Linked DNA regions of Schizosaccharomyces pombe. Changing the gene in region 1 together with any one later gene gives a genetic interaction. Each region holds a gene or a part of one and is shown on either strand. Other genes may lie near its edges.

Evidence for each region. Genes that interact genetically often act in the same process or in processes that back each other up.
Region 2: mutations in tbf1 (region 1) and dpe1 together harm fitness less than expected from each alone (positive genetic interaction), as found in Schizosaccharomyces pombe (one large-scale study listed by BioGRID).

Annotation. Positions count from the first base shown.
Region 1 is NC_003423.3:2,369,796-2,378,495, reverse strand, and holds tbf1 (DNA-binding factor Trf1), read right to left. Parts: upstream 4,572-8,700; 5' UTR 4,323-4,571; coding exon 2,865-4,322; 3' UTR 2,757-2,864; coding exon of another isoform or gene 2,049-2,756; 3' UTR 2,009-2,048; downstream 1-2,008. Other genes in the region: nucleoporin Nup44, read right to left, coding at 1-401, 446-461; COG complex subunit Cog5, read left to right, coding at 1,432-1,886, 1,936-2,008, 2,049-2,756; SPOM_SPBC19G7.18C (uncharacterized protein), read left to right, coding at 5,572-5,719, 5,768-5,838, 5,885-6,424; pdc2 (topoisomerase II-associated deadenylation-dependent mRNA-decapping factor), read left to right, coding at 6,913-6,989, 7,045-7,145, 7,253-8,700. UniProt on the Schizosaccharomyces pombe protein: Binds the telomeric double-stranded TTACAGG repeat and regulates telomere length.
Region 2 is NC_003424.3:3,446,094-3,451,997, forward strand, and holds dpe1 (dipeptidyl peptidase), read left to right. Parts: upstream 1-2,235; 5' UTR 2,236-2,270; coding exon 2,271-3,500; 3' UTR 3,501-3,762; downstream 3,763-5,904. Other genes in the region: SPOM_SPAC3A11.11C (pyridoxal reductase), read left to right, coding at 415-1,419.

The DNA of each region.
Region 1 (8,700 bases):
TGGGGATATACCTGAAGACAGCAATAAGCTGCTAGGGATCGTAGCATTGGTTTCGTCTACTGGTTTTGTGGGATTGTTGACTGTACTCCACGAAAATAATGGTTGCGTATTTGAGTTGCCGGTTCTTGATGCAGCGTTTTGGCCAAATACAGTACTTTGTGGGGCATTGGTGGTAGTATTGGAGAAAGAAGTGGTCGGCTGTTGTTGTGTTTTACCGAAAATTGAATTTCCAAACGGTGGAGCTGACGAAGAACCAGTAGGGCCTCCTGCACCTACATTAGTGTTTGTGGACCCAAAAATAGATCCAGAACCGAAAGGTGCAGTTGGTTTTGTGGTATTCGACTGGCCAAAAACGCCAGTTGAGCCAATGGAAGGTGCCTTTATTGACGACCCTTGTTGACCTACAGTCGTTAGCAACTTATAACTGATGAATCTCAAAGCATACCAAAAGAAAATGCCATAGCGATTTTGCAATTCTTTTACAAGGGAAGCTTGGCTCTTAAATTCTGTCTATTTGATGGGTTGCAAAATCTAGAGTGAGTGATAGCTATAGCTTCACAATAAAGTCAGTCTGCGGTTAAGTTCGTTAAATGATGCCCTATTTTCAGGAAAGCTACCCTATAGCAATTTTGAGATATATTGCGTACTACTTTATTCAATTTACTCTTTCCTTTGGAATTCAAATTATTACTGTTATTCTCGAGATTTATTGAAACTTCAAATTTTGAATTAAATACCCACAGTAAAATTTTTTTTAGACAAACTACAGCATATTTTTCAAGTATATTCTTAGTCAATTTCCTATAGCAATTTGTAAGTTAATCTCTTCGTTAACTCCAATAAATTTAAATTTGCTTTATTTGAGAGCAAAGATATGAATTCGTATTACATTTTAGTAGTTTATATATACATTTACTGCATTTTTAGTCACTTTGTTTGAAAACTGTAACTGCCTGACGAATGTTTACTTGAGGAGTATGTTGAAACCATACTAACTCTTAGAGCCGCGGATTTCAGTTGGAATTTTAAAAGCCTTCGTGGTTCGATAAAATTCAACGTTCAAATTGATAAGTTTTTCAATCTTCTATTTGAAAATCTCTTTCTTTGTTCTTTAGAATATGAATGAGTAGCATGTTACTTACAATAGTCGGTCAAAGTGTCTAAGGTATACGCTCTCATATACTACATTAGTTGCACCAGACGAAGTAAGCGTATACTTGCAGGATAAAGTTGTAGTGTTATCGTGTTTCGAATAGAAGTGCTAGAATACACTGTTCAATTGCGGATTTTACTTGTTCAAAACATTCGTTGTAAGATTTGGTATCGATTCTGCGTTTTACGATTGATCGTCAAATAAACTAAAGTTAAGTATCATTAAAATCTATGAAATAGCTTGTAAAAATTTCGTTTAAAGCGCTTAAAATTCCTGTTATGGAGTTTCGATATGATTTTTCAGATTACAAAAAATCAGATTTCGATCCAAAGGCGCAGGCTGAACGAGTGTTAATCTCTGTTCATGCTGACTCCGATGTTAACGAAGACAAAGAAGTCGCCAGAAAGAGGTTGGGGTATGCACTCAAAGAAGTAGAGCGGCAAATTACCGATTTGATTGTGCATGAGGAAACCACGTTGACGAAAAATGTATCTAGTTCTTTGAATGCTCAGTCATATTTGCAAGATATCGAGGGAAAACTAGAACAATTGATGTTGGTTTATGAAAGAATTCGTTCGCTGGTAGTCATTCCATCTGAAAATTTGGGTCCCCTTCATGAGGCAATTGTAAATTTGCATTCAACATACATGACTTTGTATTGGCTTGGGGAGTTTTTTGGCATACAAGCAAAGTTATTTCCCCTTTTCCAGGGATCGATTAATGAAAATGAAAAGTATGCTTATTGTTTTGCTCAATGATTTTGGTATGCTAACAAATTCAAGACTTTCACGCTATTATCAAGCATCTTTACTATTACAAGAGTCTGATCAATTATTAAGCCGGTTTCCATTAATGGTATGAAATATATTTTCTGTTTCTTGGCTAATTATTGTAGAAAAGACAATCGTCCGTTTCTTTACTCTTAAAACTTAATATAACCAATCGATCGAGAATTATAAAAGAAACATCCAGCTATCTATTATCACAAGAAGATCAACTTTCTTTCAGTGTGAACTCTAATGGTTTTACAAATGCTTGCTCTGTTTTATATATGTTAGACAAATATTTGTTAGAACAGGACTTAACTCGTCTTTTAAGTTCTCGTATACAGAAGGCCATTATACAATTCGACTCGATTTTCCAACTGTCCCCCACTACACGAAGACTCCTACATAACAGTACAGATCCTTCAGCGGCAAATTCTACTATATGGTCCAAATTTGAAGACGGGTGGTACCAAATTTCAAAGATTGGTGCACAATGCGTCTTTTGGGAAAGGTCACTTCAAAAGGCTAATATTTGTAATCCAGACTACCCAAATTTATTAGAATATTTTCAAATGCAACCAAATTTTATCCTTGATGGTGCAACTATTTGTATCTATTTTTTCAAAGAGCTGGCAATTTCTATCAGCAGCAAAATGCAAATGCTTGATCGCCGTGATCCAATACTCTTGCGGGTATTCCGAAGCGATTTTCAGCGAGTTACGCATATTGTGGAACAAGCTATTGCCAGGTCATCCTCCGAAATTGTAAATAAAGATACACGGGAATGTTCAATTGTAATGAATAGCCTCCGAGTATTAGCACCAAAAAACCCATAGATTAATAATAATTATAATTTATACATAAAATGCCTCACGCTTAATCGTTTTAGTATTTAAAAAAAAATCGCAAACTTAATCAAGAATGAAATAAACTCCTGATACTACTTAATCTCGCCGAAGATCGCCTGTAACACATTGTAATGCTGCGGGGACCACCTGACCACTTTTGAGAAAAAATAGTTTCATATTGCGAGCCTTATCTTTCAACTGAACTTGATTGCGATATTTCAAAACTTCACTCTTTTTGCCTCCAGGACCATAAAGCTCCAAAATTTGGCTCCACCGGGGACCTTTTACTAAATCAAGACCATCAAGCAATGCTTCCTCTTCCTCTTTTGTCCAAGATCGACGATTGGCTACGCGCCTCGTACGCTTGTTATTTAGGTTATTATTTGTCATATGTCGAACCTGATCATAAAGAACGACACTGGATACATTTTGTGTTTCCGAGGAGCCGTCAAAAGTTGAAGATGGTATACCAAATGCGAGACTATCGGTCAGGTCTGAACCAGATTCTGAAGGGGATGATTCGGCTTCGCCAGCCTTAAACCTCAATCCGTTCTTCTTGGATCGTCGTTTGAATGAGTTAGCAGGAATTGGAATGGCCGAAATAGACGAGTAATTGTTATGGATGTAACAAGCAATCTCGCTTAAAAATTTCCCCCATGGATATACTTCATTTAAAGCTTCCTGTGGGGAGAAGTTTGCCAATCTTTCTTTTCTAGCCGTACATTTCTCTATGATTTGCTTTTCAACATAAGTAAGTTTGTCATCCAGCTTAGCATTTCGTCGGATAAGAAATCGATGGGCCATGTCAGAGGGAAAAAGATCGTTTAATATGTCTCCCTTGGGACGTTCTGCCTGAGCCATAGCCGAAATATATGCTTGGGTTTTGAGTTCCATATAAAGAGTGCCCTGATTAGTGAGGATATTAGATTCGTCCGGAGCAAAAACCTCCAGAAAATTTTCATTCAAATGAAAAAATCCAATTTGTAGCGCTCCATAGACAGCTGCCAGAAAGATAGCAAGATTTGCGCGTCTAGTCGTACTTCTTTGACTCGGCGTCCTCATACCAATGGCAGAGGAATAAATAAAAGATTCTTCAGTATAAATGTCCTTTACCATACGAAACATATTCATTACTTTGGTAAAGGCCATACCCATTTCGGAGGCTGGATTAGTGACAATGGCAGATGCCTCTTGTACTGGCTTCCCAAGAATTGACAAAATTATGTTACTAAGGTTACCAAGAGTAGGAATAAGAGATGTACGAAGAAGTTGCTGAGGTGTAGCAATAGGATTAGGTTGGTTGAAAGCGTAATCCATGCCTTGATTCATGCGTAAATAAAAGTCCGGCGTCATATTAAATTGAATTCCGGAAAGATCAAACCCTAAAGGAATTTCTGCATTTGGTGCAACATTTTGAGGCTCGAGTTCAGAATTTTGTTCTGATAATTGTTGTAACATTTGGCGATCTTGTTCGAGGGCAGTTGATTCTGGATCAATCGCTAAGCGTTTTTGACCCTTAAAATCATCACTAGGGTCTAAGGATCGTTTTGACATTTTCTTGGAAATCGTAGTTTTTCAATTGATCAAAGAAAATACAAACTATAGGTGAGAAGCAGTCTGATTAATCGATTGCTAAACAAATCCAAGGAGCAACGATATCCAGTGACTACCGAATAGTAAATCTTGCATCAAAAGTTCCAATTCTTCTTTACTACAAGGTTTTTTAAAATATATCCTTCCAATGCAGGCAAAGTAACAACCAAATGCGAGTTTTCAGGTATTTGTGTGTCAATTGATTAGGACAGCGTATATTTAATTGACTCGTAATAAAAAATCTCTTGCATATTTCACTTCATTGGCGTTCGTTATTTTTATTAACGAATTCCAATAAGCCAGATGTGTTAAATACCATTATATCGTTGTATTTCTTTACTAATTTTATCAACATTTCATTCCTTTGTAGAAGCGATATCTGGACATTATTAACTAATGAATAAGCTGTAACTACTACTAGTAGTTCCTACATATTAGATACAAAATCCGTCTAAATTGGCAAAACTTTTTAAAAAAAAAGACCAAGTCTGTATTGCATCTATTTCTCTATTTCTCAATTGCCTTCTTGTATTTTTCGTTAGCTGTGTAAAATGCAGTGGCGCTTGTTTAATTTACGAGATAGAATTCTGTGCTAAATTAGTTCAAAATGAATAAATACGGTTAATGACAAAGAATTATACGATATAGACTTATTTAACAACTGGGAAATTCCTGTTGAACATATATGCTTGCAATATTAAAATTCAAAACAATCGTATACCACGAATTGATGCCACCAAGGTCTGTTTCATTGAAAGATGGAATGTAAAACGTAGTTCGAAAAAGTTGCATATTTCATCACAAGTGCTTACCAGCCAAAAAAAATTCAGTCTATCAGTTTCATAAGAAATTTCAACAGAACAATCTTGTGTGTCAAATTTTTATTCAGATACGTATTTCTTATTCATGCCAAGTATCACTGTAGTAGCTGGGAAATTTAGATGGTCCTAATCCCTAGAGATTCTCCTTATTCACATCCTCTTACATCAGTATCCAAACTATCCATAAGGCAACAAGTGATGAGTACTATTACCTTTTAGTAGTAGTATTTTTACATTAGAAAGGCCTCAAATTTTTATATATTGGGTTAAATTGTACAGTCCGCAAATAATTTAATTACATTTATTTCGCTAACATAACCCGTATAAGCACGTTTCATATTCTTGACATTATTGTGTAGCCTCAGGAATCGCTTCCAACGTTTATTATCATGGATTTTTTTTGGGAACGAATGTTAAATGATCCTCAAAACCATTTCAGTGATGACCAAAAGGAATTTCTAAATCATGCAAAATACCGTGTCAAAAGAAATACGATTTTTGGGATGCTAGTCGGGTTTTCTCTCCCATTATACTTAGGTATGAGATTTCGAACAAGCAATTGAAAATAACTTTCTTATTTTTTAGCTCGTAACAAAAAGGTTACTCCAATCCGCTTGTATGCAACATCAATTATAGGAGGTCTTGCTGGAAATGGGGTAAGTTTTAAGTAATACTAAGCTCAAGCTTACAAATTATGAATAGGTTGCTCAGATTACTACTCTGGCATACAATTTGTCGGCTATACGTCAAAGAGATGATGGCTTTGAAATACTTCGCAAAATACAAGACTCCCTTATTCGACAAAGAACAACGATGCGACAAGGCAGATTTCCTTCTTCATCTTCTGAATTCCCTCCAAAAAACTCAAAATATCAATTACCTGGAAGTATGCCGAATACTGGTGCCTCTTCTAGTCAAGATCCCTTTACGAATTCACAGAGTACGGAGAAAGAGGACGCCATGTACTCTAAAGACAATGGCTTTGAAGATCGATCAAAGCCAGCGTCAGCATGGGAAGCTATTCGTAACCGTAATCGAAATACCGGTAACAATTCTTTTCCATTTTACGAAGAAGACTCGAGTGTTAAATCCACAGATAGTGCTTTTAGTGGACAAGAAAATTCTGAAGCATTTCCTTCCCGAACTTCTAATCTAGGCTCTGAACAGTTGGATGAACCTATTTCTCACGAACAGGAGGCATTTGATCAATTGATCTGGAATGATTCATCGTCTTCCAAATAATTTCCTTTATCTCTACATGTTACGATAATTTAAAATTAATTTTTACCAATTTGAGTGTCACTGAATTTATGATGTAAAGTAGTTAAATTTAGTAGATATTTCTTTTTTTCTATACTGCATTGCCAGATTGATGTAGCTTGCTTGAGCAAGCAACTTATGTATGTTCATGCATAAATTTCGATACATTTCAGTCTTTCAAAAAGAGATAAATTTAAATTCATATTTATGATATACATCTATACGTGATAGGTTTTAATAGCTAGTCTTGAAGATTGATGTGAAATAAAATAGGGATAGATTTACTGGTATAGCAAACCAAATAACAACTTTAAAATTCAGATATAAAAAAAGAACGCAAAGTAAAAATATATATAAAACGCCATGAATCAGTCTGCGTCGAACCAACCCAATCTACTGTCATGAGTATTGTTGTATGCAGTGCCGCCCACCTAGCTACCACCAACTTCTCATTACCATAAACCCATAAAATGTCATTTTTTGGGTTTAATACTACCCTTCCAAAGGAAAATATGTTTCCTAACGAAGGGCAGTTAGAAGAGGATGGGTAAGTCGTTAATATTAATGTAAATATGATACTTTAAGCTCACAAGTATATTTAGCATTGACTTTGAGGAGACCTACGACGATTTGGGTAATCAATTAAATGAAGCCGGAGATGAACTAAACGACGAGACTTTTGGTGTTAGCGCTGGAAGTATAGGTATGTACCTTTGTGCTTGTGATTCTGTAATCATTCTCGGCTGTCATATCTGGGATATTGCAAGCTATTAGTATTTAATATTTTAATATTTTTTCTCACAATTCTAGGACGTGATTTTGATTTTTCAGGTACTACCGCTCAAGCATCTGCACAATTGGAAGATGAGCAGTACCAAATTAATCAACAAAATATTTTCGCTAAACCTGTCAAACCAGCTTCTTCAGAGTTACCTCAAGTTAGTAGACTTAATGGTGCTTCACAATTTCCTTCACGGGAACCTGCGTCTACTGCGATCAATAAGCTTTCCGATTTGCAGCCTATGGCTTCGATTTGGGAAAATATTGTTCCAGAAAAGCCGGCTATTATTCCACCTGAGGTAGCCTCTCTTCAAGATCGTTTGGGTGCCCAACCATCTGAGAAGGTTTTTAGCTTGCAGGAGTTGGAGGAACAGTTATTGAACTCAATGACCGCTCCAAAACCACCTTCTCAACCCGCTATTCCCATTGTTCCATCCGAAATGGCTGCTCAAGTAACTCGAGAAAACATCTCTTCATTGGACCCGGCGATTAGTGCGGCTAGTATTGGTAATGTTACTTTTGGTCAACCAAACATCCCTAGCACTACAACTGATTTTGCTGGATTAGCTGCTCCTAATATGGTACATCCTTCGCAAGCTATACCCAATCCTGTTATGCAACCTTCCCTTGTACCTCAAATGCCATATCCTCAAAACGGCATGTACAACCCAAGTGTTGCTCCTCCTGCTTCCCTTGTTAATCTTTTCCAGCAGGAACAATTAATTCAAAACCAGAACCTTGATGAAAAACGTCAAAAGTTAGAGCGTGATCATATGCTCATGGCTCAATGTGCTGGGTTAATGACACGCAGTGATAAATCGTTTATTGCGAGAATTCAAATATCGCAATTGATGTCGGAGGATCCCGAATCTGATGATTTTTATTATCGCGTTTACTCAATTATTCGAGGCCGCAAGCCTTCCGAGGAAGAAGCCAGTCATTTTATACAGACTTATCTAGGACCTAGCAATAATCGCCGTCGTGGTCGTCGCTCCGAAAATCCTATGCAGAAATTACAACAGCAACTTCAGCGTTTGGTTTCTTCTGCCAAAGAGCGCCCTAAGGCAACTCAGTTGTCTTTAGAAGGTGCTCTTGGTAAAATTGCTGTTAATACTGTTCGCACACCACGACAATTGTTGAATGTTAAACGTCCTACCGAACCAGCATCTTCAAATTCATCATTAAACAATTTTTCTGGATTTTCTACGAAGAAGGATGTATTGCACGCTATTGAGAAAGTTTATGACTTGTTGCTTGACTTTGAGCAAGCCCTCCGTAAAGCCTCAACGCTAGAAACTACCGATCAGGAGCAAATAGATACATGGAAAACTACTTTAAGCGAGAAATTGGAGTCCATTTGGAAGGCATTATACATAAATGAATCATTGGAAGCATCTTCTAAGACTAGGCCTCCATTCATTTCTATAATTTCTCACCCCAAAGGAATGAGGCTGCTACCTCGCTTGTTCCCACATTTG
Region 2 (5,904 bases), on another chromosome or scaffold:
TCTACAACTGTATGAACGCTTGATCCCAGTATATGTATCCATTTGTCAGTGGAACGATATTCAAAAGGTACTTCATTTAATGTTCAGTAAAGCCCCATCCACCTCTGACAATCTTTATAATTTATATTTGATTTGTTAAGTTAGTCTTTCCAAATCTCGAGAGCTATATTGGGGTGTCAGTTTGACTTGTAATCGTCATCATCGGTAACCGGTTGTTTCCAAGAACAAACTAGCGCCATAAAAATCACCACCATTGAGCTGGTTCACATAGACATTTTCGTCTTGAGAAAATATTCACCGAACTCCTAATTTACTGTCAATTGGCTTTTGTTTCTTGAACTAAGGCTATTGTAGTCGTGTTTGTGATACATCCGTTGGAACGGAAGTTGGTATAGTTTGGCAGCATTGCGCACTATGCCGTATATTAACAACTTTTTGGTTGGACCAATTGGTCTAGGATTAAAAAGTCTTACATGGACTGAGAATCCTGTTCCTGATGAAGAAGCGTTTCGAATTATGAACTATGCACTAAGTCATGGATGCAGTTTTTGGGACGCAGGTGAATTTTATGGGCTTTCTGAACCATTAGCCAATTTGCAACTTCTTTCAAGGTACTTTCAAAAGTTTCCCGATAGTATAGATAAGGTGTTCTTGTCAGTCAAAGGTGCGTTTGATCCTGAAACTCACCGAGTTCACGGGACACGAGAATGTATTACCAAAAGCATCAAAACTGTCCGAGAGACTCTCAAAAAAGTAAAGACTATTGATCTTTACCAATGTGCTGCAATTGATCCTGACACACCTATTGAGGAGACGATGGCTTGTTTGAAGGAGTTTGTAGATTCTGGTGACATTCGATGTATCGGTCTTTGTGAACCCTCTGTTGAGGAAATCAAGCGTGCTCATTCTGTTGTGCGGATTGCTGCAATTGAGGTCCATTATTCAATGCTCTTTCGCGAGATTGAATATAATGGGGTAAAAAAACTATGCCATGACTTGTCCATTCCTCTTGTAGCTCATTCCCCGTTGGCTCATGGTTTGCTAACAGGTCGTGTAACTACAATGGCGGACATTGAAAATTTAAAGAAGCATCATCAATGTAATGAGCAGCCTCCCTCAAGCACGTTTAGTTCGACTCTTCCTTGTATACAAGCATTGAAGGAGCTAGCTTCAAAATATGACATGTCGTTAGCAGAATTGGCCTTGAGTTTTATTTTGTCAGCCGGAAGGGGTAGAATTCTTCCCATACCATCGGCGACTAGTTATGATCTCATTGAAGCAAGCTTGGGATCATTTTCCAAGGTTTTAGATACATACCAATTTGCTGAAGTTGTTAGCTGCCTAGAAAAGACTTTACCGCCTCCAGCGTCTCCTAATTCAGAACCTCAAGTGACAGGAGGCTGTTCTAGTATGTGTTGAAAGTTAAAACCATAAACAGCACATAGCCACTGCTGCTTTGCTCAGGTTTTGTTAGGTTTGTGAAGATATTAGTAAATTTTGCTTGTTTCATATGATGCAAAGAGCAACAAAAGTTTGTGAGATGATATTGAAAGAGAGATTTGTTCTTCTATACTTATAAAACGGGAATGTGCCCGGATGTGCTTCATTTAATGAGAAGAACTGAAGAGTAACTGTTGGTGGATACGCCGTTTTAACTACTGTCAACGATCCTTTCATTTTCTATTAGTGTCATAACTTGCAAACAAAAGCGTTTCTTTTTCTTTTAAACTTCAACATTTTCGTTCTCTTGCAAATTTCTTACTACATTTCAATTTAATTGGGATTGTTGACTCGCAACACTCATTCCAAATTTCGAAATTTCTCTTTCTATGTATGTCTTATTAAAAAATTTCCTTTTCTTATATCACATCTTGTTTTTCTGTATATAACGCTATACCGACTTTTGTTTAGAAATGATATATCCATTTTTACTCTATACTGAGGTTTTATTTTTTTAATAGCATAGTAAACATCGTTTTAATAAACAGATTAATTTTTTAAGATCTAGCTATGTAGTCTTGCTCTTAGCGAAGGGTTTGTATAACAACATCAGATAAGCTCATTTAAAGTGACATTAGCACTAGCAAATTAGACATTCAATCTCTGCCAAGTTTTGCTAATTATTAGTTTAACAATTGAATTTTTTGGTAATTGACGGTGAAATATTATATTAAACATCCTGCGCCTTCATCGAGACCCAGCATATATAACCGACGTGACATTTCCACACATCTTAACAATTGCCGCACAAGTAATCATTTTTGAACAAGATGGTTTCCGATAGCAAATTGGAGCTTCCATTACCTGTAAACCAACAAAAACCTCGTAGAAGACGAATTTTAAAGGTTCATCTTTTAATTGCGGCTTTGATTCTGAGTGCGGTTGGCTATTTAGGCAAAGGCAAATGGATTTGGACTCCTGAACGAAAGGCTCACTTTGTACTAACTCATTTTCCTTTAATTGATGGGCATAATGATCTTCCAATATATCTTCGTGAAAATTATGATAATCGCCTTCTAAATATTTCGCTTGAGCACCTTCCTGGACAAACTGACATTTTTCGTCTTCGTCAAGGACATGTAGGGGGTCAATTCTGGTCTGTATTTGTCGAATGTCCTAGCTTGGATTCCAATAGTTCTCTTTCGTGGAATCGCACAGGTGAATATGAAGCTGTTACACAGACTCTTCAACAAATCGATGTTGTTAAAAGGATGGCTCTATACTACCCTAAAACATTCTCTTTGACTGATCATAGCGGTAAGGTCAAATTCGACTTTTTACGCAATCACATTTCAAGTATGATGGGCATTGAAGGTCTTCACCAGATTGCAGGAAGCCCATCCATTTTACGCCAATTCTACGATCTTGGCGTTCGCTATGCTACTCTTGCGCACAATTGTGACAACGTATTCGCCGATGCTGCGGTTGACGGAAAGCGTACTAACAAAGGATTGTCTCCTGCGGGCCGCGATATTGTCCGTGAAATGAATCGTCTTGGTATGATTGTAGATCTTTCACACACCACACCTGAGACCATGCATCAAGCCTTAGATGTATCAGTTGCTCCCGCATTTTTCTCACATAGTTCCGCTAAAGGGGTTTATGATCATCCCAGAAATGTTCCTGACGATGTTCTGATTCGCGTCAAGGAAACTGATGGCGTTGTTATGGTGAATTTTTACCCTGCATTCATTAGTCCACACCCTGAAAATGCTACAATTGATACCGTCGTTGAGCATATAATGCATATTGCCAATGTAACTGGATCGTATCGTCATATTGGCTTGGGTGGTGATTTCGATGGAATTGATATGGTGCCCAAGGGACTCGAGGATGTTTCCAAGTATCCTGATCTTTTTGTTAAATTGGCTGAGCGTGGTCTCAGTATCACTGAATTAGCAGATATTGCAGGCCGTAATGTGCTTCGTGTTTGGAAGACCACTGAAGATCTCGGGCATTCAATTCATGAGCCACCTTTGGAGTGGGAAGACGACTTTTAAACTTAATCGTTTATTAATAAGTCTACCTCTACCTCTTTATTTTATTTTTGGAAAAATTTACTGTATTATTCCATTTTGCCGGTTATGAATTTCTTACGATTAACGACAAACCATGCCTATTGCTTACTCTTTTATGCCCCTTGATGGATCGATTATTTTACTATTAGTTAACTAGCTCTCTTAGTTAATGTAATAAATTTTTGTTTGCTTTGAGATTATTTTCCACAGTATAATTTTTACGCATGTGTCCAATAATATAAAAAAGAAAAAGGAGAGTTAGTTATCCGATATGTGTTCATTAATTGGCAAATGCGAGACATAGAAAAACTCGATAAAAGACTGATGAAATTTGATTTTAACAGCACCCATAGACCCTTCAATCATCAAATAAATAAAAGAAACCACTGCATTAGCAAACATATTTTTTTAATAAATAAAAAATAACACACTTTTGAAAATCAGTTATGAATAAGCATTAAACGATCCCCTTCGATATGAAGAATGTGACCTCCTACGGTTATTATTCCCAGGCACGGGTAAGTTCCAAAAATCGAATATTTGGCCTATGCTGAGCTTCATTATCTTCTTCAACCGGAGAACCCTCACTGCTAACTGCGGCAGAAGGAGCACGCGATGGTCGACGACTGCGCGATTCGGAAACATTGTCAGATAAGAGTCCATTTCTCGTATCACTACTGCTTTCATTGTTCTCGTTGTAAAATGGAACTATACCAGGCCTGGGTATGTTATCATCCTCACTTTCACTGTCCCCAATATTAGTAAGAACTTGTTCACGACGACGGCGTTCTACACTATTTTCACGCAAATGAGATTCCGAATTTTGCCTTGAGTATCTAGGCCTATGATTCTCAATAGAACTCTCAATATGTCCAAGAGTGGGTTCCCTTTGTCTTTCGTCGTCCGGCTCATGTAAATTACGTTGAAAAGTATCATAGGAACGTCGTAAGAAACTGCGAAACTTGCGACCAAAACTTTTTGCCTTCGGATCCCCTTGAGCGAGTTTTTCATCAATTGAAGGTCCATTTGCATCTCGAGAACTGGTATGCGAAATAATGTTTCCTTGAGAATCTTCAACGACCAAGTCTTCGCCAATAAGATATGTCTCGTCACCAGGATTCATTTCTTCTTCTCTATCTTCCTCATTCGAGCGGCGAGGTTGCCGAGATTCATAGTCTTCAGAAGGAAATTCTTCAGCGTCATAGTGGCCTCCGCGTGGTGATTCAGCACGTTCTTCCCGTAGATGTGCGGCTTCAGGAAGCGAGACAGTTGATATATCAGCATCCTCATCTTCTTGAATGTTTACAGGATGACGCCTTCTTATGGAAGAAGCAATAGAGTTGGCAGAGGAGCGCAACGCATCAACTCTTTTAATTGGTAAGCTTTGTCCTTGACGAACACGAGGTAAGTTAAAAGCAAAATGAGAGTCCCTTGTTCTCGTAAACGACAAAGCCAACGTATTAATCCTTTTACCAAGCATGAAAAATGCAATACTGCTTCCATGAACAATGATAGAACTTAGAACCAGGAAACAAACTACTGGCCACATTACTTGTATGCAATACCAGTTTGGAATTTCAGGGTTTTCGATAGCATCATTAGGCTCAGGTACAGTGCTATGTACTTCTAATTCGGCTCGTGCAACCAAACAAGTATACAGTGCACCTACACCAATAGGACCAAAATGACCAGCAAAGAGAGCTTCTCGCCAATTGATAATATCAGGAACAAATGATTTAAATAATAAAACGGCAGGAATTCTCCTTGCAATTAAAATACATATAGCCAATACAACGAGTCGCCATACACTCAAATCCATATGTGGCATGTGAAATTGAGGCCAGGGCATGATAGCACCCACGTATACAAAAAAGGAAAGATTGAGAAGAAGGTCGATAACGTTGGAAACATGAGATTCTTCTGTTTTTTTCGAAAACCATGAGTCCCAAGAGAAAGCAGCACCAGCACAAAAAGAAACTAACAAATCATCGACACCAATGATGGTACCAATACCACCACAAAATAGTGCTAAAACGAAGTAGAATACAAGAAAACTTTCACGATCCATTAATCCTCGACGTTCCGAAAATTTAATCATCTTACGGGCTATTACACCTATTATTGCACCTAGCACACAGCCAAAGGTGCATTCGTATAAAATAATGATACATACCCAATCGCGGCCAGCATGTCGGGCAGGTTTCTCAATAATTAAATAAATAGCTAAATACAGAAAAGGAATTGCCATGCCATCATTACATCCAGATTCGGCCAAAAGCATGTTCCTAAGATGACCTGGGACTCGACGTGCAAATTTACCTTTACCGACAATAGAAGAAGCCAACACTGGATCTGTCGCAGTAATACATGCCGCTATAGCTAATGA